4 linked regions of the Arabidopsis thaliana genome follow. The protein of the gene in region 2 purifies or fractionates together with the protein of the main gene of each other region. This does not show direct contact. Each region holds a gene or a part of one and is shown on either strand. Other genes may lie near its edges.

Region 1 (4,651 bases), on a different chromosome or scaffold from region 2:
CCTCTGGTTGATGTTAATGTTCTTGGTCTTCGGTCTTGCGACAAGGATGCCATGTTTATACTCCAAATGCAGTGCGAGTGGAAATGGAGTGATGTACACTGGCTTCTATGTAGGCTTGATTTGTGTTGGCAATTTACTTAAATGGGTGACTTGTCTTGCCTGTTACCATGATTGTAAAACTATGGTTTTGAGAAAAAAGCGTGATGTAGAACAAGCTAAAACTCCTGCTGCTTAAGAGACTTTGGCTGAGATCAATTCAAAGTGTGAATCTTTATAATAAATGGTATAAAAGCAGAAAGGTTATTAGACTTCTCAGCTTCAACGCAAAAGCATAAGAACATGTTGTAAATAGGATTTGCTACTATGCGAATGTGTAATGCTAAAAGAAGACATAGTCGCTCTTGCATTGTGTTACAGAAACATGAGTGAAACAACAGAACATTCTAAAAACTGTAAAAAGCTTTTATTTTTTGATAAATTCAACGATCCTCCAGATTAGTTTTCTTTCCCTTTTCAATTGGCTTTTGACTCAATGACCTTCTTGGCGAAAGAAGGCAAGCAGAATGCAGCTGAATGAATCTGAAACCCCCAAGAAATGAGAGCATAAGCTAATGATTCGAGTGTGTAGACCGCATGAAATGGTATACTGAGAGATTTTTATCTTACCTCGGCATTGTAAAACTTCAAAGGTCCATTTGATTTGCTGGAGCTCTCGTCAATTGGGTTCAGTGGGTGTTTGAAGTCAACATCAGGTCCTTCAGTTGAACAAAGCATAAATCCAATGACCCCACTGAAAATAAGAAAAGTGTGATTCAGGTTAAGTTATAATCACCCAAAAAGGAGAGAGATTGATGTTAAAGGTCATTAAACATGCCTGGGGTATGTTGGAACGCTGGTCCAAGCATAGTTCACAGAACCCTTGAAGATCTCACGGCAGTTGGAAACAATGTCTTCGATGATGTCCATGTGAAGCCACAAGCTTTCAGCTTGAGTGCACACAACTCCACCAGGACGAAGAGCTCTAGCCACAGATTGGAAGAAGGGTTTCTCAAACAGCTCCTTTGCAGGACCTGACAGACAATAAGTAAAGGCTGCTTTTTAGTATTGTTCAACATAACAGTAAGGAATAATGTTGTTTCTGATGACATCTGATGACATCTGATTGTAGTAGTTACCGATTGGATCTGAAGAGTCAACAATAACTGCATCGTATGATCCTTCAGCAGCATTCTTCAAGAAAGCAACACCTGCAACGATTCACCAACCGATCAGTTTGAAACGGCAAAATGTGTTCAACATAACTACATAATGTTTCAGAAAGAGAGAAAAAAGCGGCAGTATTGTACCATCGCCAATGACAAGGTTCACGCGAGGATCCTCATATCCAATTGCTACATCAGGGAAAAATTGCTTAGACACCTGAAAATTACCAGTAGGTGGAAACAAATTAGATAACAAGGTATTTATCTATCGAAATAGAGAAGAAGGAAAGGTGAAAAGTAAGTGACCACTCACGTCGACCACCATTTTATCAATTTCACACATGTCAATCTGCTCAATAGAAGCATGGCGTGCAACTTCCCGCAGGACACCTCCATCTCCTCCTCCAATGACCAAAACCTATGGAAGAACTAGAAAGGCATTGATCAGATACACTCTGGCTTATAGCTTTACTAGCTAAAAGCAAAAACAGCATTTTTAGCTGACCCACTTTACCATAACCCAAAATAGTTAGACTACCCAATTCTGATACTTGGGAGCAAAAGCAATTCTGAATGTAAGAAGCTTGATTATCTAACCTTTTCTGAACCAAGTCCCCCAATAACAAGCTAAAGACTAATCATTTAAGCCCATTGAAATAAGTTTCTTCCGAATCATTATTATAACCCAATAAAGTTACTTGAGTTCTCTAACTTTGCCAGAAGGGAACATGGGACTATGTACCTTTTTTTCTCAGGAGGCCATCAAAGTTTGTACATATAAAAAGCAAAAAATGGTGATCATGAACCTTTTCTCTAGTGGACATTCCTATCACCACCCTGGAATGTAATCATTAATGCCAACTCAAGTAGTTTCTATATACACATCTAATAAAAGGAACTCTGGTTTCTCTATTTCTCCATAACTAATGATTTCATCATCCTACTTTACCGGAGAAGAAAAATGCAAACTTCAAGAAAGACCTTTCATTACATTCCAAAGCTATAAACTTTTGATTACCCACAACACAACACAATCAAGGTCACAGAATCTAGCAAAAGGATTGATTGTATACCTTCTTAGGGTTAGGGATAGAACACAAAGGAAGATGAGTGATCATTTCCTGATAAGCACATTCATCTCTCTCCGTAAGTTGGATTACTCCATCCAAAACCAAAACTTTTCCATATGTTGCAGACTAACCAACACATAAAAAACAAGTCTTTATAAGTATAATCACAGACAAATAAGTTAGGAAAAAACAGAGAAATGATTCTTATTTTTGTTACCTGGAAAACAATAACATCCTGATAATCTGATTTCCCTTGAAACAAAACTTTCTCAACCTTCAATGAGTGTGCCTCTCCTGCATCATCAAACCAATGAAAAAAAAAATCAGCTTTTTAATTTAAGAACCCAGAATTTGTTTTTTGAGAGAGAGAGAGGAAGGAAACAAGACCTGGCCACATAGGACTCATTTCAGAGAACCACCCAGGAATAACAGTGGAGAAACAAGCAGGTTCCTTTTTCTGATCTCCGTTCTCCGTCTCCATGGTAGCGGCGCCGCCGTTATCATCCTCTTCTCTCGGTCTTTTCAAATCGGTGGCAGAGGTTTCTTTAGCGTCCATGGTTATTGCTCTGGTGAATATCTCCGAGAAATGAGAGAGAGGAGGAACTAGGGTTTGTGAGAGGTGGTGATTTTGGTGTGAAGTGAAGCGGAAGATATAAGGAAGAGAAGAGCGTACAACTGAAAATATCATTTCATTTTTTTATTCACTTTTTTTTCAACGTAGCGAAATTATTATGTGATGATAATTCTACTTTTGCCTCGAATATATCGTTTCTTTAACTTTTGGGTCCTTTTTAATGGTTTTTTAAAGAGAAACTTTTTGGCTTTTTATGTCTGGTTTTTTATTCGTGTCTTTAATGCTCACTCGCTTTTTAGCACACGCGCTTTCTCACGTGCAAAATTCTCATACTGTACCACCACCAAACATGGACGGACTAGACTAGAGAATGTTATTTCCATGTTCTCTCAATTGGTTTAGTTACCAATTCCAAACTCTATAATCTATTTTTGTTTTAACTTTATTTGTTGTAAGTAATCTTGTGTAAATTAGTTTTTAACAATATGAAACTTTGTACAGTGATAATAAGATTTGGTACAGCTCCTAGTAGAGGAAGCAATTGGTTCATATGTAGTATTAGCTAAATCTTGGCTCTTGTGGGTTCAAAGCTCAATCAAAGCACATAGGTGCTTATGTTTTGTCAGTCTACAAGGAACTTCTTTTGTTATCATCAGATGCAGCCCGTTGCTCAATATTGGGATGTAGGACTCTCTGAGTCTCAGCTGGAAAGGAAGGCATTTAAACGAAGAAGCAGATTCTCGTGATCTTTGATGAGTTCCTTCGTTCTAGAAATGTCACTAGCGACATACACTCTACAAAAAGAGACCTTAGTAACATCAGGATCAGTTCACGTAGTGTGTTTGTTCTGTGGATTGGTACTTATGAAATGATGAGCATGCCAAACATAACAAGAGAGAAAACAACTCATATCTATATATGGACGCGAACGTCAGTAAAGAGCTTTAAAAACACGTCATACTTGGCAGGTTCATCATGAAATGCTTCCTTCACAGCATTGATGTATGTAACCGCATCCGCATCATCGATAGTAGAATCCGGTGTTTGTATGTAAAGAGCTTTATTATCGATTTGTGTTTGTATTGAGCAGATAATTAGTAAAATCTTAGCATTAGCTTTTACACTGCAGTCTTCTGGTTTTTTTAGTTGCAAAAGTATATAATTGGTAAAATCTGTGAAAATGAAATTTAAAAGCTTTCTATAAATTAAAGACATATGATGAGAAAGTTTTATGATTAGAATGCAGATATTTGTATTAATTTAGTCCAAATCTTGTTTTAAAAAATATACAAAACATATTTAAATTAGAGATATAAATATTGAATTTAATTTTTTTCTATAAAATCTTATTATCAATTTCGTAATTCATATAAGGTTTACTTAAATTAGAAAATATATTTGTTATTAGAATTACTTGACTTTGTTTGTTTTGCTCTGTATTTTTTGGCCAGGCGTAAGTTTGGGCTCTCTTCCTCTCTGTTTTTGTTTCTAGCTGAACTCTGTTTTTTTAGTGTTTCCCCTCTCAGTTTCTTATGCAAACACGACCCAAAAAATATCTACACGGCCCAAATCTCATGTCTTCTTGGTAACGAGGAAATATTTATTTAGTGAAAAAACATTTGATATCAAAGAAACCTCAACAAAAGAAACTATACACTCTCTTTTAGTCTCTTATACGCCAATTCATTGTACAATATACCTCAACATAGAAGCATAGCATATTTGTGAATGTCATGTTAATCAAACCAAACTCAAATGTTTGCAAAAGAAAACTAAAATCACTCTCTTTTCGTTAGAAGCCTTCC
Region 2 (6,709 bases):
TTTCACACTGAGCAGCGATTTGTTGCAATTGGAGTCAAGAAAAAGAGCTTTCGGAACTGATATTACAAACGTCAATGTTAAGAGAAGCAAATCATCATCTTCGTCCCAAGAAAACGCTACAGAGAGAAGGCTAAAGATGAAAAAGCACTCAACACCAGAGAGTTCTTATAACAAAAGCTTTGATGTTCATGAATCAAGACATGGATCAAGAGGAGGTTACCATTTTGGACCTTTTGCACCAGGCACTGGTACATATCCAACTGCTGGTTTAGAGGATAACTCTAGGAGAGCTTTTGATGTTGAGAATCTGGATTCTGATTACCGTCCCTCTTACCAAAACCAAGGTGCATATATTTTATTCACATCCATTTGATATCAAACTTGTCAAAATATTGCTATGAAATTAACTCTGTTTCTGAACAAATTTCAGTTTTGAAAGACCTCTTTTCCCATTACATGGATGCTTGGAAGACATGGTTCAGCGAAGTCACCCAGGAGAATCCATTACCTAATACATCACAACACCGTTAGATCTTCTTTTTCTTCTTCTTCTTCTTCTTCTTCTTCTTCTTCTTCTTCTTCTCTTACCTGTGAACATCAATCATCATTCGTGTAGAGAGCTTCAAGAGTCATTTCTTTTGATCAATGTGGTTTAGTTTCTCCACACAATTGTAACTGCAAGAATCCGACATTAATTCACAGATCGCATACCCTCTTTGCTTTCTGAAGTTTACTGTAGGCTGTAACTTTTGTATGTTACATATAAGAGCATTCATCTTTCGCCAGTTTTTTGCTACTTTTGTATGGCATGTTGTTTTGAGAAAAACAAAAAGAAATATCATCTCATCTTATTTTTCATTTTTTTCAAGAATTTAAAGTAGCAATACCATTTCTCTTACAGAAGGGTCTCTTGCTTTATTGGTATATTCTCATGAGTACATGTTTTAAGGAAATATCAGGAACTAGTGTTTGTCTCAGAGCTTGGAAGGAGGTTTGTACCATCCCCATGGTTCATCAGAGATATACTGAGTCACCTGCTTCACACTCAAGTAGTTCTCAAGTCCCCTGCGACGAAGAAAATATGTTTCAATTCAAATTTTGTTGGTAATCTATTACGGTTTAAGTTACTATGGACACAATTCCATCTAGTTGGAGAGTGTCTTTTTCTAATGGTTTGATAATCTTAATACTTATAGCTAACGAAAGAGACTAACCATTCTCCCAATTCACGGCCAAATCCACTGCGTTTGGTTCCACCCCATGGAGCTTGGCAGAAGCATGGCTGAGAGCAGTTGACCCACACTATTCCCGCCTGGAAAGCCTGAAACACACAATGATTACGATTCATAAAACTTTAGAGATTAAGTTCAATCATGAGGTTATTGATTGTTATTGTTGATAGTAAAAGTTAGATACACACCTTACTAACACGATCACACCGCTCCAGATCATTTGATAATACTGCGCCTGCTAATCCATATCTGCAAATACAAATAAAGTCAGGCATATGATCTAACACGTCATCAGTGGAGTTCTACTTCAAGATAAGAAGAGAAATCTACACTCACTGAGAGTCATTTGCAAGCTGAATTGCCTCATCCTCGGTGGAGAATGTTTTCACACACAGAGCAGGACCAAAGACTTCCTCTCTCCAGATTTCCATTGAAGTAGTCACATTTGAAACAATCGCAGGTTCAACAAAGTATCCCTTCTTTAAATGCTGCAGAACATAAATAAAATATTGTAAGTGCTACGGGCTCTAGATAGTATTTGGCACATACATAGAAGATTAGTCAATATAATGTACCTCAGGACGAACTCCTCCACAAAGAACAGTTGCACCTTCATTCCTAGCGTTTGAGACAAACTTTAGAACTCTCTCGTACTGCACAGGAGGATAAATATGTAAGACTTGACTAGAAATCTTTCGTCATTAACCCAAATTGATAGATAAGAGGGTTTTGGAGGATTGAGGTGTTTATTCTTGAGAATGTCAATTCTGTTTAGCAATTTAACCTGTCCTTTACTGACAACAGGACCAAGCCTACAGCCTTCTTCAAAAGGATCTGAAATCTTAATGTTCTTGGTCCACTTTACCAGCTTGTCCAAAAACTCGTCAGCAATCCTTTCCTGACATTTCACCAGATTCTTTCATGAAAACAACAGTACACAAGAAGTATAGTAAAGCTTCGCTATCCTACTTTTATCAAGGGTTCCCAAGGTCCTACGACAACTGATACTTATCAATCTATCCGAATTGCTGATGACCAGTCTTACAGATAAACATATACTGAAACTCTGTACCTTTGCATCGGTGGTTTCATGTAAAAGATAAGTTATATATTCTACTTGTTTTATGACTAGAGTAGCCTACATAATTATAACTTAATTTCCAAAGGTAACCTTTAATTTTACAACATATAATTGTGTTAACGGATAACACATAACTTGTTTTATATGTGTTAACGGATAACACATAACTTGTTTTATATGTGTTAACGGATAACACATATCATGAACAGTTCGGTGCAGAATTTAAAATCAGAGGTACTGTAGATTATAGGCTCACTTACATGCACAAGAAGTCGAGATGTGGCACTACAAATCTGCCCATTCGTCCAGAAACAACCAAACATAGTCCATTCCACAGCTGTTTAGAGCAAAATATTAGTCACAAATTAAACCAGCATTTTAGAATACAAATATATAGCATAGTTTTCTTAAGGTTCCAAAAGTACCCACCTTTATCAATATCGACATCATCAAAGACAATGATAGGGCTTTTACCCCCAAGCTCCAAGGAAACTGGCTGTGGAATGAAACATAAAACAAGATTCATGTACAGACCCCGAAAAATCATAGGTCGAATAAACAAGCCAAGATAACTACTAGTTCCAAAGGAGAGTAACAAGGACACTTAGACTTACTTTCACCAATTTGGCAGCGGAAGTCATAATGCTGCTTCCAGTTGTTGTGCTTCCAGTGAATACAATCTGGTAAAGGCTAAAATATCAATACTTCAACTAACCCATAAAAAGGAAATAAGTGCTCTATCTATAAGTGTTTGACTTTCAGGACACTGGTAGTGGTATACAAGTGATCAGACCTTGTCAACATGTGGATGCGATGCCAGTGGAGCACCTGCTTCAGTTCCTAAACCAGTCAGAATATTAAGAACACCAGGTGGTAGACCCACCTCGCGGCAAATATCAGCGAGCTCCAAACATGTCCTGGAATAAAACAGCATCAGATTGGCGAGTTAATGAACTAATAGTTGAAGTGGCTAGCTATGATGTCAACAGAAATCAAAAACTCACAGGGAGGCCAACTCTGAAGGTTTCAGTATAGCCGTGCACCCAGCAGCAAGTGAAGGAGCGACTTTCCAGACAGCCATCAATAACGGATAGTTCCTTGAATGCAAATATAGATTATTAGCTGCCTAATAACATACGGTTTGTCTAAAAAGGAAGATAGAACACTTGAAGACCAATGTGATCTGAATATGTAAAATTTAAATCCGCGAACTTGACAAAGGATAATACACAACGATCTGAGGGATCGGTTAGATTCAAATCTGTCAATGAAATATAGTACCATGGAGTAATCATGCCAACTACGCCAATGGGTTCCTTGAGAATATAACCCTTAAAAGTATCCATCGGAAGAGAAAGAGGAGTCTTCTGCTTTGCATCCAAGCCTTCAGCTAGGTCAGCATAATATTCAAAACATCCAGCAACATCATCCTGCAAAGGTTACAAGCAACCACATGTGACATATGAATCACAAAACTGCCAAATGTTCACAAAAGCAAATTGAGAATACCATGTCCCATGCTGCTTCATCTAGAGGTTTACCGCAATCAATAGCCTCAAGATTAGCTAGTTCAGACTTCCTCTCTATTACCTGGATATTTCCATTATGTTATTGCCAGGCAAAACAGCTAACAGAGAATGAAACATGAGAGGAACATAGATTTGATTAACTCATTGTTGTTACCTTAGCTGCAATAGCGCGCAAGTATTTGGCACGAACAGCACCAGTTGCTCTAGCCCAATCCTTTCCGTTGTTCCTAGTAAATGCTTTCCTAGCAGCTTCCACAGCAAGCTCCACATCTTCAGAAGTTGCAGCTGGAATATAACCTAAAACCACCACCAATCCCAGTTTAAAAAACACTACAAAGAACTCCATCAGCAGGAGAAGAGATCCAATCCAATCATTCAACTACATATCTATCTATTCTCCTCCTATATAATCCCACAGATCTAACGCAAAAACAACTTCCGCTCCCGTTCATAGACAATAATCACAGAAGAAATGACGATCGTCTCAAACAGACAAAAGTTCAAAGCTCTTTCAATTCGCGAACTAAGTATACAGCAAATCGGGAAATGCGTAGTTCCGATAACGATAGATTGAATCGAAACTCGCGAAAATCGAGTGATCAAGTTCAAAAAGTGAGTAACACAAGATATGATTGGAAAAAATAAAAAGTACCGATGATGTCTTCGGTGGCGGGATTGACAACAGGGAGAGTTTTACGGAGAACGGGCTCAGTCCATTGACCGCCGATGAAGAGTTGCCGTCTCGGCACCGTAATCGCCATACTCTCTCTCTCTCTCTGCTACTAGAGGTGGTGAAAAGGAGTAAAATGGGATCGTTGGGACTTTCCGTTTTGGTTCTAAGAATGATATCTGACCCATTTTTCTGATAGCTGCTCATATAAAATAGTTTTTTACCTTTTAAAAAATAAGATTGATTTAATTCATGGATATTTACATTTATTTGGATTTCTAACCATTTTTACATCATTTTTTTATATACATCCTATACGAGGCTGTCTTTTTTTTCTTTCTTGTAAAAATTGTTTAATCAAAAGGGACATTCAACAAAATTGCAGATTTTTAGCTAAACCGGTTTTAAACTTAAAGAGTCATCAAGAATCTAGACTCGATTCCAATTCTTCATCACAGTTTAATATTCCGCACAAGATCAAACTATCCAGATTCTTTTTTTTGAGTTTTTCAACTTTTGATTCGAACTATATAAAATGATTAGTAAAATTATTCACAAACCAAACGATTCACCCCATTTCCACGGAACAATAAAAAGATCAAACCAAGCCAAATCATCTTTTTCAAAAGTCTTTAATATCTCCGATCATTATGAATATAGCAAGAATCAAAACAGATTTTTATCGTTTACAAAAAGAAGAAGAAGACGAATATGTAAATCCAAAAAAACAAAGATATGATGAGTCAATTCTTAGTGGTGGTCTTGTTGTACTTGTCTTTAACCCAATTAAGACCCAACGATGTTCCTATCTTCACCTTCTTTAACCCCGAACTCGCCGCCGCTTTCGTCTTCCCTAATCCAGCCCCCACTTTCTCTTTGTATTTAGACGATGCACCACCACCTTCTCCGCCGTGAGTTGTTTTTCCCGACGATTGTTGATTGCTGTCCCACTGCTCGGCCCAAGAGTTTCTCTCCATATTGTATGAGAACGAGAAAGATTTGATTAGGTGAGAAAAAATGTATTAATTCAATCAAATCGTGATTAATATAAGAAAGTCACGCAACTTATTATAGGGTTTGGTGGGGTAGATTAGAGTAGATTATGTATTATTTAATTAATTTATACAAAATAAAAGGTATTATTTTGATTATTTGACTACGTTCATAAAATGGTGTGGTGGTAAATTAATGATAAAATAGATTAGGTAGATATTTGTGTTATGTTTATTCTGGATTGCGTGTTTGTGTGTCATTATTTTTCCTAATTCTCACTACGAAATAGTCGTTTTTGATACATTAGGTATTTAATTAATACAAATCTTGTGCTTATCTTTTGATCTTTTGACTTTGTGAGTCTATTCCTCTTTAATTTTGACTTCTTCTCCAAATGCAGTAATATTTCTTCTACGAATTTGTTTCCTGATTAGCAAAAACCCAACTTTCTTCTTAGGAACTTGGGTAAAAACTGTCTGTGGGCCTTATCAAAAAGCCCATATTGGGTCAATAATTATGACTTTGTCACATATTTGACCCCGTTCATTTTGATAGTTTATAATTACATCAATGGATAGTTTTGTTAATCATGCAAGCCTGATCTCTAGTTTGGTTCAAAATCTTGTTGGAGTATTTTTGTAGAACAATAATTTCAAGCATTCATCAATCAATATGTGTTTAACGAAGCTAAATCTATTCAATTACAAAAAATTAAAAGCGAACACATGTTACATCTAGATTATTGTTATTCAAGTAATAAAAATTAAAAGGTAAAAGATAGATCACCGTAAAAAGTTTCTTAAGTATAGACTGTATATATAGTTTATAAACATAATTAGGTAGATATATCGAGTAAAAATAAGTAGGTTAATGTAAAGTACATGGTATATTTAATAGTTATGCGACGACATTTCATGCGCTTGACTGCTTGTGCAATATGAAAAGATTTCACTGTTAAAGTTTTAGATTTTTGTTAGTTAATTATTTGGCGAGACAGGTCAAATTAACTGGTATTGACATTTAACAACTTTTAGTCACTCTTTTAAAAGGTACTATTGTCTAGAACAACTTTTCTAGTCACTCTTTTAAGGTACTATTATATACACATATGATCGATAACCAGTCATTTTAATCGTCCAAACCTCAAAAATGCTAACTTCATAGTCAATACCTAACCTTTTTTTTCAAAATCTGATTCTCTTAA
Region 3 (5,570 bases), on a different chromosome or scaffold from region 2:
TTCTCACCTTGAGTGTATCAGAAGCCTTTTTGAGCTCAATTTCAAGCTCCATCATGGTGCTCGCTTCGCTCGCACGAATAACAGCAGCCAAAGCTCGTATAGCCGCGACGGCTTCAGCCAGATCCGGTTGTTTTCTCCAGTTATTGAACTCTTCAATTACATTAAACGACTTCTCGTTCCCGAGATCAGTTACGGATAAGTCATGCTGGGCATCGCCTGAGACGCCGCCAACGGCGGCTTGAGCTTGGGCTAGCCAGTCGCTTGTAATGACACCGTGATGCGCCGCGCGAGTTTGGTAATAAGCGGAGATGGAATCAGGGTTTTGAAAAGGACCTCGTGTTGTATCCGCCATTGGAGGTGAATTCGAGCTTCGTCGCTCGTCGAGAATAAACGACGGTGATCTTCTCCACATTGATTTTTTTTTTTCTTGAGAAAATTCTTCAAAATGGAAAAATTGAAGATAATATACTGTCGCTTTCTCCAGAAATATCATATGAAAAATAAATATAAGGCCCATTAATAATATAAGGCCCATTTATAAGCCCAATAAATTTACTAATTTTCATATCTTCATATGACATGCCATGGAATGGAAGTACAAAATATTCTAAAATTAAATTAGCTGATCACAATTGCCTGATCAAATTCAAAACACAAGTTTTCTTTTTTTTAATAACTCAAACTGATCACACTTTTCTTCAAAAGGGTCTTTAAGTTCATCTTCATGGTCAGGTCCTTTTAGTTGCGGAACTCGTCCATGAAGCTCTTGTGGAACTCTGTCAGACGATTCACTATCGCTGGAATCTTGTCTTCTTGTGGAAGTATTGTGCATCTAAAGTGCCATGTTCCAGGAACCTAAACCACAATGAATCCAAAACCCATTATTCAAGTTCGATCCTTTTGTAAGACATTTAAAGTTATGAAGATTTGGTTATATTTTACCTGTCCAAAGCCAGAACCAGGGACTACAACTACACCAGTAGCATTGAGAAGGCGTTTGCAGTAGAACGCATCTGGTGCAGTTTTTTCAGCCTCAGCAGCTTCGATAGCCTTTTGAGGAAGGTTAATTCGCGGGAAGAGATACATTGCTCCTTCGGCTCTGTTACATGTAACACCTTCTAAACTGTTGAGAGCGTCTTCCAAAGTCTGCAAGTTCATTTTCAAGCTTGTGACATTATATACAAAGAGACTGAAAAATGTCGTTAGAGGGTATTGTAATCTTCGACTAACCTTTGCACGTTTAGCCATGGATGAGAGAATTCCATCTCTTTCTGCCATGTATGAGTCATATGAGTCATCACCAGGCTGATCAAATACAATATTAGACTTTTTAGTCATAATCTGTTGCAAGAACTTAGCGAAAACCGATTAGAGAGAACTAGGGTGTTACCTTGGGTGGGCTCATGACAAGGCTAGCAAGAATTTGACCAGAGATGTTAGAACAAAGATTCACAGAAGCCATTTTGTATATCTGTTCTCTTACATCAGAAGTGAATCCAGTAACCTCCATGTAACCTCCTCTTTTTCCACATTCTCCATAATATCCTATCAACAGAAGAATATTAAAAACAAAAACCCCATTTTTTAGATGACAAGCATTGGACAGTAAAAGTTGTTCTTTTACCTTTGGAGACTGATTGGAACGAGACTAACGAGATATCTTTTTCTCCATAGCCCAAAGACCGAGCCACTTTCTTGAAAGAATGGAACTTTTTGTCAGGGACGTAAACATTTTCTTGGTAGACTTCATCAGCTAAAAGAACCAAACCCTCTTGCTTGCAGAAATTAACAATGTCACGCTGGTTTTCTTCCGCAAGAACCTAACCAGAATAAGAACGCAAGATTAGAAGAATGTTACATTTTGTTAGGCTAGTCTTGAAAATCTGTTTGTACCTGCCCAGTTGGGTTACCGGGGTTTATGACAACCAAGGCCCTTACAGAGATGCCCTTGGACCTAGCTTCCTCTAGTTGCTTCTTAAGGTCAGATATTTCCAGTCCCCATCCTGTTGCTTCATCAAGATAGTACGGAACCTAAGAAGTACAAATTTCAAAAACTTGTACCAAAAAACAACATTACTCCATGATGATTATATGAACATACCAAAGATCCACCATGAAGGGCAATTGAAGCCGAGTACAATGGATACTGAGGAATCGGGGAAAGAATACCATCTTTCTCTGAGCTCAAGAGAAGTTGCATCATCATGTGAACCTATAGAGTAAAAAACACCAAAAACACTTAGCATGAATCCTTTAAAAGAACTTACTCTAACTCTATGAGATAACGTTTTCGTTTTGATTGTTACCGCTGGACTTGCACCATCAGTCAAGAAAATATCATTTGGATCAGCAGGGAAACCATCACGTGCTTCGATTCCAGCTGCAATTACATCACGTAAACCCTTGATACCCTGAGGCAGAACAAAAAATGAAACATTCAGCAACATAAGAACCATCTCAAGAAAGGGTTTAGGACTTTTAACTAGACTCTAATAACAAACCTGGCTATGACTGTAAGCCCCAGTTGCTCTTCCGGGAATATGGTCCAAAATCCTCCATGCTCGGTCAATTGAATCGGTACTGATAGCAGAGTAGAAATCAAATGTTAAGCAATCTTAAACCGTGAGCATACATGTCCTAAAGCTGAAATATAGCAAGGAAAACCTCACCTGAACAAACCATGGGTTTCAGACTCATCCAAAAGACTTGCGTGGTCACACAATGCGAGAACCTGAGGCATATAGATGATAGACGTTATATCTCTGTGGCTGATATGACAACCAAACTAGTACCAAAAACATTCACTTACCTCACGGAAGAACTTTATAGGCAGCTGACCAAGAGATTGAGGATTCCCAATGTTGCAATAGATTATCTGCCAAAAGTAATGAAGAATTCTAAGTTCCTTGCACAAAGAGTTTGAGAACAGGTAACATCAACACTAAACTAATCATAAATCCGTCAAAACTGCCGATAAAGAAAGAGATTTTACCTCATCAAAGGGATAAGCATCCTTATTAGTCTTCAAGTCTTCTTGTAACTTCTGTAAGATGGAAGCAAAAAGCAAACAAAAATCAATTAGCATTAAAAACAATTTTACAGATTTTGTTCTTGGTTTTACAAGACAAAGCACATGCATCTCTGACCTGAGCAATGTTGACAATTTCTCCTCGAACAGCATACTCACATTTCAGAACCTGTTCCCCGGAAAAGAAAAAAAACTCTTAGTTAACAATAAAACCAACTTCTCTGTAATATAAAGTACAAAGAAGTTATGCAAAGCTTGTCGATTTCATCGTTGGGAATCACAACGAGAAGCAAAGGATAAACCTTTGGCGTTAAATCAGACAACCACAGTAAAAAATTGAAACTTTTTTACTAAATTAGAAACAAATCCAGATCAACCCTGAAACCCACAATTCAAAAACGCAATAAACCAGCTAGAGAATTAGAAACCGACCTTGGGATTGATGGAGTCAAGAGTAACGGGAAGAGAAGAAGTGGAATCAGAAGCAGACATCTCCGAAGTAGAAGAGAAGAAACGAGACAGAGCAGGAGGAGAAGAAGCAAGGGGACGAGGTTGAGGAGAGAGAAAGCTTGGACTTTTGTGGTGATGTTGACGACGAGAATGGTCGACGAGACCTTTAGCTTGGTTAATCAAGAATCTCCGCATCTGTGAATCAGCTTTATACTAGGAACGTGCTCTTTAAGCCCTAGGATTGAAAATTCTCTCACGAGGAAACAAGGGTCCCAATATCCAGTGCCTTGCACACCGAATTTTGCCTTGTCCTCCACGCTCAGAAATTGCTTTTTCGTTTTTTCTTTTCGAAAATCTAATTGATGAAGATATTTGTAGGGGTTTTTTTTAGGCGGCTAATTTTGTTGATTTATCTGTTAAACACACGACTAATCCCAAAAAAAGACATGTCTTTTATCAAAAAAAGATGTCTGAAGTCTATCTTCCGTTGACTTAATTATCCAAAAGGACCAAAATTGAATAATCCAATCACAGTCGTAATCTAATTTGGGGATAAATAGATACTTATAAAACCTACAGCTAATTTGAAAGTTATAAATTTTTAGAAATCTCTAAATTTAAATAAATCACAACAACATGTAGCAGCACATTGCTAACGATGAGGTTTTTTTTGGGCTACATAATTGGGCCCTAAAAAGGTCGGTAAAATCGTGATTTAAAGCCCATTATTTGTTTATATCCACGTCAACAAAACGATATCGTATTAGGTTGGACGAGAATAAAACCCTAGGAATTAGAAAATTTGTACAACGTCAAAACATCGAAGATTTTGATCCAACGTATACCAAGAGTTTCGGAGACGACGTCGTTTTGTCTCTGCGCCGCGTTCTTAGTCTGAGCTCACGCTTGTTCGTTTCTCCTCTAACGTCAACTGTGTTTTTGCATCCTCAAAGGTTTGTGATACACCTTATTGTTTCTGTTCTTTTGTACAAGCTTCACATGGATTAGTGTAAAGTCTTAGAATTGGGACTCGGAATTTATTGTTATGTTTTAGGTTATTCAACCCAGTTATGGTATCGTTTTGAAGTAGAGGTAGAAACCCTAATTTTTGGGGTCTGTAAATTTGGAGAAAAAATTGAACCTTTCCCTTTTTTGTTATATTGTGTAATTTGGGACTAATAGTTCTTCGAAGCTGAGTTTTTTTGTGTGTAAATTTTGTAGGGTTTAACATAGTTGGGGCTAGGAATTTTCATGGTTTCTGTTGGTTCTAAATCATTGCCATCTAGGAGGCACAGGACCATTGAGGAAGATAGCTTGATGGGTGAACGAGGAAAGTCTAGTAACAATCACAGTGAAAGGAATAAGGGAATGCGTAGGAAGGACCATAAGGGTAACCGTGGATTTGATGTAGATAGCAGCAAGAAGAACCAATCCGGTGGTGCCCCCAATGTAAAGCCAGCATCAAAGAAACACTCCGAATTCGAACATCAGAATCAATTTGTCAGGTAAAGGAGATTTTTAACCAAGGGCCTTTGCTCTAATTTATAGTCGAAATTTTGTTGTTGTGAGAAGTGGTAGTGATTTGGGTGTATCTTTTTCAGGAAAGAGATTGATCCAGAGACTTCAAAGTATTTCTCTGAGATTGCCAATCTCTTTGATAGTAATGAAGTTGAATTAGAGGAACGTTCAGTAATATGTGGAAATGCCCTTGAAGAAACAAGAGGGAGGGAGTATGAAATTGCTACAGACTATATCATAAGTCATGTCTTGCAAACTCTACTTGAGGGATGTGAACTTGACCAACTCTGCAGTTTCATACGAAATTCTGCTAGTGTGTTCCCAGCCATTGCAATGGATAGATCTGGTTCTCATGTCGCAGAGTCTGCTCTCAAATCCTTGGCCACACATCTAGAAAATCCAGACGCCTATTCTGTTATTGAGGAGGCTTTGCATTCTATATGCAAGGTACTTTATACAATTTTTACTGGCTTTGACAATCATATTAAGGTATCCAGATTATTGCTTCTAGTCTAGTAATTGACCTCAATTTTGATGGTGAAATATTTCCCCTGGTCAGGTGATTGTGGATAAT
Region 4 (4,732 bases), on a different chromosome or scaffold from region 2:
AAGGAACATGTACAAGGTTATATGCTGGTTAAAGTTGCAAGTGGCAATCCAACTACTTCAAGAAGGACCTATTAAGTGGTATTATTAGGAATTGAGAGCGACAGAAAATTAAACATAATTGATGACGATCAAGTAAAATTATCATTAGATTTAAAAGTCATAAATTAGGTAATGTTTGTAATATTGTGATGTCATGATAGATGTGAACCCATACACACGTGAATAACGATGGTCAACCTCTTGTTATAATTATAACGTCAACGTCGACAATACCAGTGAACACGTATACAAGTTCTGTTGGACAAACCAACTGTTTTGGACGGCTGATGATGTAAGCCCAAAACATTTAATTTTTATTAAGGCCCATAAAACAGTTTTGCCTCTCCATTTTTTCTATTTTTGGTCCAAATCACACCTATTAAAATATTTGTTTTATTTGCCCTTATTTTTATAATTTAGAGGAAACATGTCAAAATGATAAAAAATTAGTCTACAAATTTTTGGGTTTTAAATCATATTATGTGATCACATTAAATCGAAAGTTAGTCAATTATAGATGCATAACGTTAAAAAAAGGATATGAAATATGTGTAATGCTTATAAAAAGAGATTGATAGCTCAGTGCAGTCACATAACATTGCAGGTGAAAGAACATTACATTCTAAAAATTAAAACTTCTTTATTTTTTTCCAAAGGATCATTGTATCATCATATTATCACTTCCACATGAAGTTTCTCTAAAGCAAATGATTTCTCTTCTCTTTTCTAGTTGGCTTTCGAATCAATCACCTTCTTAGCAAAAGAGGGCAAGCAGAAAGCAGCTGAGTGAATCTGCAACACAAAAAGATTCAATCACAATTCTTAACAATGATTCACACATTTCGAAAATGATTGTTACACTAACTACTTTTTATGTACCTCAGCGTTGTAATACTTCAAGGGACAGTGTGATTTGATAGAGCTTTCATCAGTATCGATTAGACTCACTGGCTTCTTGAAATCGACTTGTGGTCCTTCAGATGAACAAAGCATGAATCCAATGACTCCACTGCAAATGAATCACATACAAACTCAGACGTTTGAGATCAATGCAAACAAAAAAAGCATAAATGTTTTCAAGATCAATTTCAAAGACCTCGGGTAAGTTGGAACACTGGTCCAAGCGTAGTTAACAGATCCTTTAAAGATGTCACGGCAATTAGAAACAATGTCTTCAATGATATCCATGTGAAGCCACAAGCTTTCAGCTTGTGTGCACACAACTCCACCAGGACGAAGAGCTCTATTCACTGACTCAAAGAAAGGTTTCTCAAATAGCTCTTTTGCTGGACCGATTGGATCAGATGAATCAACAATAACTGCATCATAGGTTCCTTCAGCAGCGTTCTTCAAGAAAGCAACACCTACAAAAAAATGGCCACAACATTGTTTATAAAAACTGATCTCAAAAGAGAGAGATGAAAGCAGAGAGCATTGTGTACCATCGCCAATGATGAGGTTGACACGAGGATCCTCGTATCCAACTGCTACATTAGGGAAATACTGCTTAGCCACCTGAAGAAAGATCCCATAAGGTGGAAGAAAACATATTAAACTTAAGTAAAGGTTCATCACAATGCACTTGCAAGATGCATAATAATAAATGAAAGAAATCTGACAAGTACTCACATCAACCACCATTTTATCTATTTCACAAATGTCAATCTGCTCAACAGAACTATGACGTGCCACTTCCCTCAGGACTCCTCCATCTCCTCCTCCAATCACCAGTACCTGAAGAAGAAACATTTCCATAAGAAACCCACTTGGTTACTTTACAGTTATACCATCCAATAGCAAGAGGGAAAAGACTCAAAACACTTCAATTATAGACCTTTCTCAAACACAAACTCAAAACTAAAACTCCCTTAAAGGATCATCCTTTTGATGTATTTCTAGCTCAAACAAGTTATATGGTCATAACTGATAGACAATTCACCTTCTTTCTTGCAGTTTTCCATTTGAAAGCAAGAGACTTTGATTATCTAGAGATTAAGATTGTTGATAAAGGATTTACCTTTTTGGGGTTGGAGATAGAGCACAAAGGAAGATGAGTGATCATTTCTTGATACGCACATTCATCTCTCTCAGTGAGTTGAATCACTCCATCCAAAACCAAAACCTTTCCATATGTTGCAGACTAACAAAATACACCAAAGTTGACAACTTTATATAAAAGTGAACCAAACTTAGAGAGACAGACTAACCAAGAAACTGTCCTTATTACCTGGAAAACAATAACATCCTGGTAATCTGATTTCCCTTGGAATAGAATCTTCTCTACCTTGAGAGAATGTGCTTCTCCTACAAACTCAGATAGAGATATTCAAAATCAGCTTCACAGAGAATTAACATGAGGAATTAGACGGACCTCAATTGGGGAAAACAGAGGAATCTATACCTGGCCACATAGGACTAATCTCAGAGAACCATCCAGGAATAATAGAGGACATACAAGAAGGCTCCTTTATCTCTCCTCCACCGTTCTCTGTTTCCATGGCGCCGCCGTTATTGTCCTCCTCTGCTTCTCTAGGTCTCTTCACGGGCAAATCAGTAACAGACGCTTCTTGTGTTGAAGACATGGATTGAAGAAGAGAGACAGTGAGTAAGAGATTAGGGTTTTAGTGTCTCTCTCTCTCTGTGGCTTTGTTCTCTTGTTGACTATGATATCATATAAGAGGAGGGGCCAACAAATATCTGCCGTACGATTCGACTGTTATAAAATCATTTTCTTTTTGTTATTACGTGAATAAGGCAATTTTCATTATTTTGTGATGATGAATATCAATCATGACAGCTCTTTTTTTTTTGGTTGCTTTTTAAAGCCGATCCAATGCATTGTTTCATTTTGATAAACGTCCCAATTAAATACTTTTATCGTTTAAATTTTAACTTTAATTTTTAGATTCTGTTATTGACCCCAAAAAAAAAAAAAAAAAACTGTTTAGTGTATACGTTTTTATTTTATCTTAGAAGACTACATGTATCAACAAAAGAGTATTGAATATTTCCAAAAGTTGATTGATTATTATTAATATGAGTGTGTTTTGCGATTCTTTAAACTCGTTATGAACAAGCGCTCTCACACTTGTAGATTTTGTGTGTCAAGTGTGTCAACTTGTGAAGCACCTATTTTCGATAGATGTTAATTCACGTTTTGGTTGATGGAGGAGAAATGTTTTCTTATCATTATTGCATTATAATTTGAATTCTGTTATTGCATATAGATGTTTTTTAAGAAAATTTGAAGGTGTGTTAACTTGTGAAGCATCATTTTTTTTTTTTGATAAGAGGCAAAAGAGTATTTATGTTAGCTAATGTTTATTTTACAAACTATCAAAGCTTATACCAGCAATACTTGTTGGCTGGAGACAAATGTGGAACGTCAAGGACAAGGCGAGTAAGCAATAATGGATGAAAATGATGATGAACGTGGAGGACAAAGATCAAGACCCTGTGTGGGATTTTCGGAGAGATGCCATGCACACACTCTGATTCTTCATTTGCTGAATAGGCAGGTGGTGAAGGTAATGGAGTTTGGAGTGGAGTCTCCCATGTTTATCCTCCTCGGAACACACTTGGTATGCTCAACAACCTCTTCTAGATGTTATGAGACTTGCTTCTGGAGACAGTTGAGATATTAAGACAATGGGCTTGCAAACTTGTGATAACAAACTGGCCTTCGTATGTTGGTTGAGGAATATGCCAATACGCGTGACAGAAAGGAAGTATTCAAAATAATGACCAGCAGTTATGTAATTTTCTCATCTTATAAAAATGGATAGCAAATATCAACTACTAATATTTGAGAGTTTGCAACTATTTTTAACAAAATCTAAGGAAATAGAGAGAAAGCCTAAAAAAAAAACAATGGACTAATATACTAACATAATATATGGACAGACAAAAATAGCCACTTGCGTTTTCTATTTCTTGCTCTTAATCAAAAGCTCTTCCTTCTTCTTAAGCTTTGTTCAAGCAAACCCAAAACCTTCATTGGCTTCGTGAATTGCAAGAAGCAGGCGTTCCTGAACTTGTTCCTTAGATTGATACTCAGGGAGGTCTAGTTGGTTAAAACTGCAACAGAACCAATGAAAATTACGACCACGTTTAACTGAAAAAAAAAAGACTTTGTAATAATGTCTAACCATGTATGAGCTGATGGCAGCCGCTCCGGAGATCCATATGCTTTGTGGATTTGTAATCTTTGAGGGCCAGAAATACCTTGCAGTGCCTTGAAGCCTTCCAAGGGAACCTGAAAACAGAAACACCGCTTGTAAAACAACCAGAAGAAAAACTAGTACATATCAGAAAATGAAGCTCAAGCGACTTGGACAGAAGCTGCAAATATTGGTTTTACCTTTGATGTTCCAGTGACAAATTGAAGAAATCTAGCCATATCTTCTTTGCTGAAAGCTTTGACAACCTCCCAGAACCAACGAATAACAGGGGACCCTACCGTGTAGCTGGTATACTCGGTATTTGCTTTTAGATCATCAACTAAAAAACAAAAGAAAACAGATAACAAGATTGTTATTATAACTTTAAATGAATAAGCAAATAGATGCAAAAATATTGAAAAATAGAATGCCAACTTACAATCAATCTCAGGCAACCCGCTGATTAGGAGCTCAAGCTCTTTATCATTGAAAATTGATACAAGCTCACGAGGTATCAACTCATTTAAGCCTTC

Evidence for each region.
Region 1: the proteins of ALDH10A9 (region 2) and SPDS1 fractionate together in Arabidopsis thaliana (co-fractionation; one large-scale study listed by BioGRID). This does not show direct contact.
Region 3: the proteins of ALDH10A9 (region 2) and ALAAT2 fractionate together in Arabidopsis thaliana (co-fractionation; one large-scale study listed by BioGRID). This does not show direct contact.
Region 4: the proteins of ALDH10A9 (region 2) and SPDS2 fractionate together in Arabidopsis thaliana (co-fractionation; one large-scale study listed by BioGRID). This does not show direct contact.

What each region holds. Positions count from the first base shown.
Region 1 is NC_003070.9:8,418,587-8,423,237, reverse strand, and holds SPDS1 (spermidine synthase), read right to left. Parts: upstream 2,829-4,651; coding exon 2,660-2,828; intron 2,567-2,659; coding exon 2,490-2,566; intron 2,399-2,489; coding exon 2,276-2,398; exon of another isoform or gene 1,621-2,275; coding exon 1,516-1,620; intron 1,420-1,515; coding exon 1,347-1,419; intron 1,248-1,346; coding exon 1,176-1,247; intron 1,071-1,175; coding exon 875-1,070; coding exon of another isoform or gene 871-874; intron 791-870; coding exon 667-790; intron 580-666; coding exon 514-579; downstream 1-513. Other genes in the region: AT1G23830 (uncharacterized protein), read left to right, coding at 1-235.
Region 2 is NC_003074.8:17,785,316-17,792,024, forward strand, and holds ALDH10A9 (aldehyde dehydrogenase 10A9), read right to left. Parts: upstream 4,712-6,709; 5' UTR 4,604-4,711; coding exon 4,495-4,603; intron 4,140-4,494; coding exon 3,997-4,139; intron 3,904-3,996; coding exon 3,823-3,903; intron 3,744-3,822; coding exon 3,595-3,743; intron 3,411-3,594; coding exon 3,318-3,410; intron 3,231-3,317; coding exon 3,107-3,230; intron 2,994-3,106; coding exon 2,928-2,993; intron 2,810-2,927; coding exon 2,743-2,809; intron 2,651-2,742; coding exon 2,574-2,650; intron 2,131-2,573; coding exon 2,017-2,130; intron 1,886-2,016; coding exon 1,808-1,885; intron 1,721-1,807; coding exon 1,569-1,720; intron 1,482-1,568; coding exon 1,421-1,481; intron 1,322-1,420; coding exon 1,215-1,321; intron 1,066-1,214; coding exon 975-1,065; 3' UTR 539-974; downstream 1-538. Other genes in the region: DEL1 (DP-E2F-like 1), read left to right, coding at 1-344, 431-531; AT3G48180 (CDP-diacylglycerol-glycerol-3-phosphate 3-phosphatidyltransferase), read right to left, coding at 5,256-5,489.
Region 3 is NC_003070.9:27,231,740-27,237,309, reverse strand, and holds ALAAT2 (alanine aminotransferase 2), read right to left. Parts: upstream 3,836-5,570; 5' UTR 3,674-3,835; coding exon 3,461-3,673; intron 3,198-3,460; coding exon 3,147-3,197; intron 3,044-3,146; coding exon 2,993-3,043; intron 2,876-2,992; coding exon 2,810-2,875; intron 2,732-2,809; coding exon 2,670-2,731; intron 2,581-2,669; coding exon 2,502-2,580; intron 2,412-2,501; coding exon 2,268-2,411; intron 2,213-2,267; coding exon 2,102-2,212; intron 2,032-2,101; coding exon 1,894-2,031; intron 1,821-1,893; coding exon 1,625-1,820; intron 1,546-1,624; coding exon 1,391-1,545; intron 1,306-1,390; coding exon 1,231-1,305; intron 1,147-1,230; coding exon 943-1,146; intron 856-942; coding exon 739-855; 3' UTR 521-738; downstream 1-520. Other genes in the region: AT1G72340 (NagB/RpiA/CoA transferase-like superfamily protein), read right to left, coding at 8-493; PUM23 (pumilio 23), read left to right, coding at 4,730-4,983, 5,080-5,443, 5,556-5,570.
Region 4 is NC_003070.9:26,484,732-26,489,463, forward strand, and holds SPDS2 (spermidine synthase 2), read right to left. Parts: upstream 2,865-4,732; 5' UTR 2,622-2,864; coding exon 2,441-2,621; intron 2,344-2,440; coding exon 2,267-2,343; intron 2,180-2,266; coding exon 2,057-2,179; intron 1,774-2,056; coding exon 1,669-1,773; intron 1,555-1,668; coding exon 1,482-1,554; intron 1,404-1,481; coding exon 1,136-1,403; intron 1,049-1,135; coding exon 919-1,048; intron 832-918; coding exon 766-831; 3' UTR 507-765; downstream 1-506. Other genes in the region: UPL2 (ubiquitin-protein ligase 2), read right to left, coding at 4,014-4,116, 4,188-4,294, 4,400-4,539, 4,639-4,732.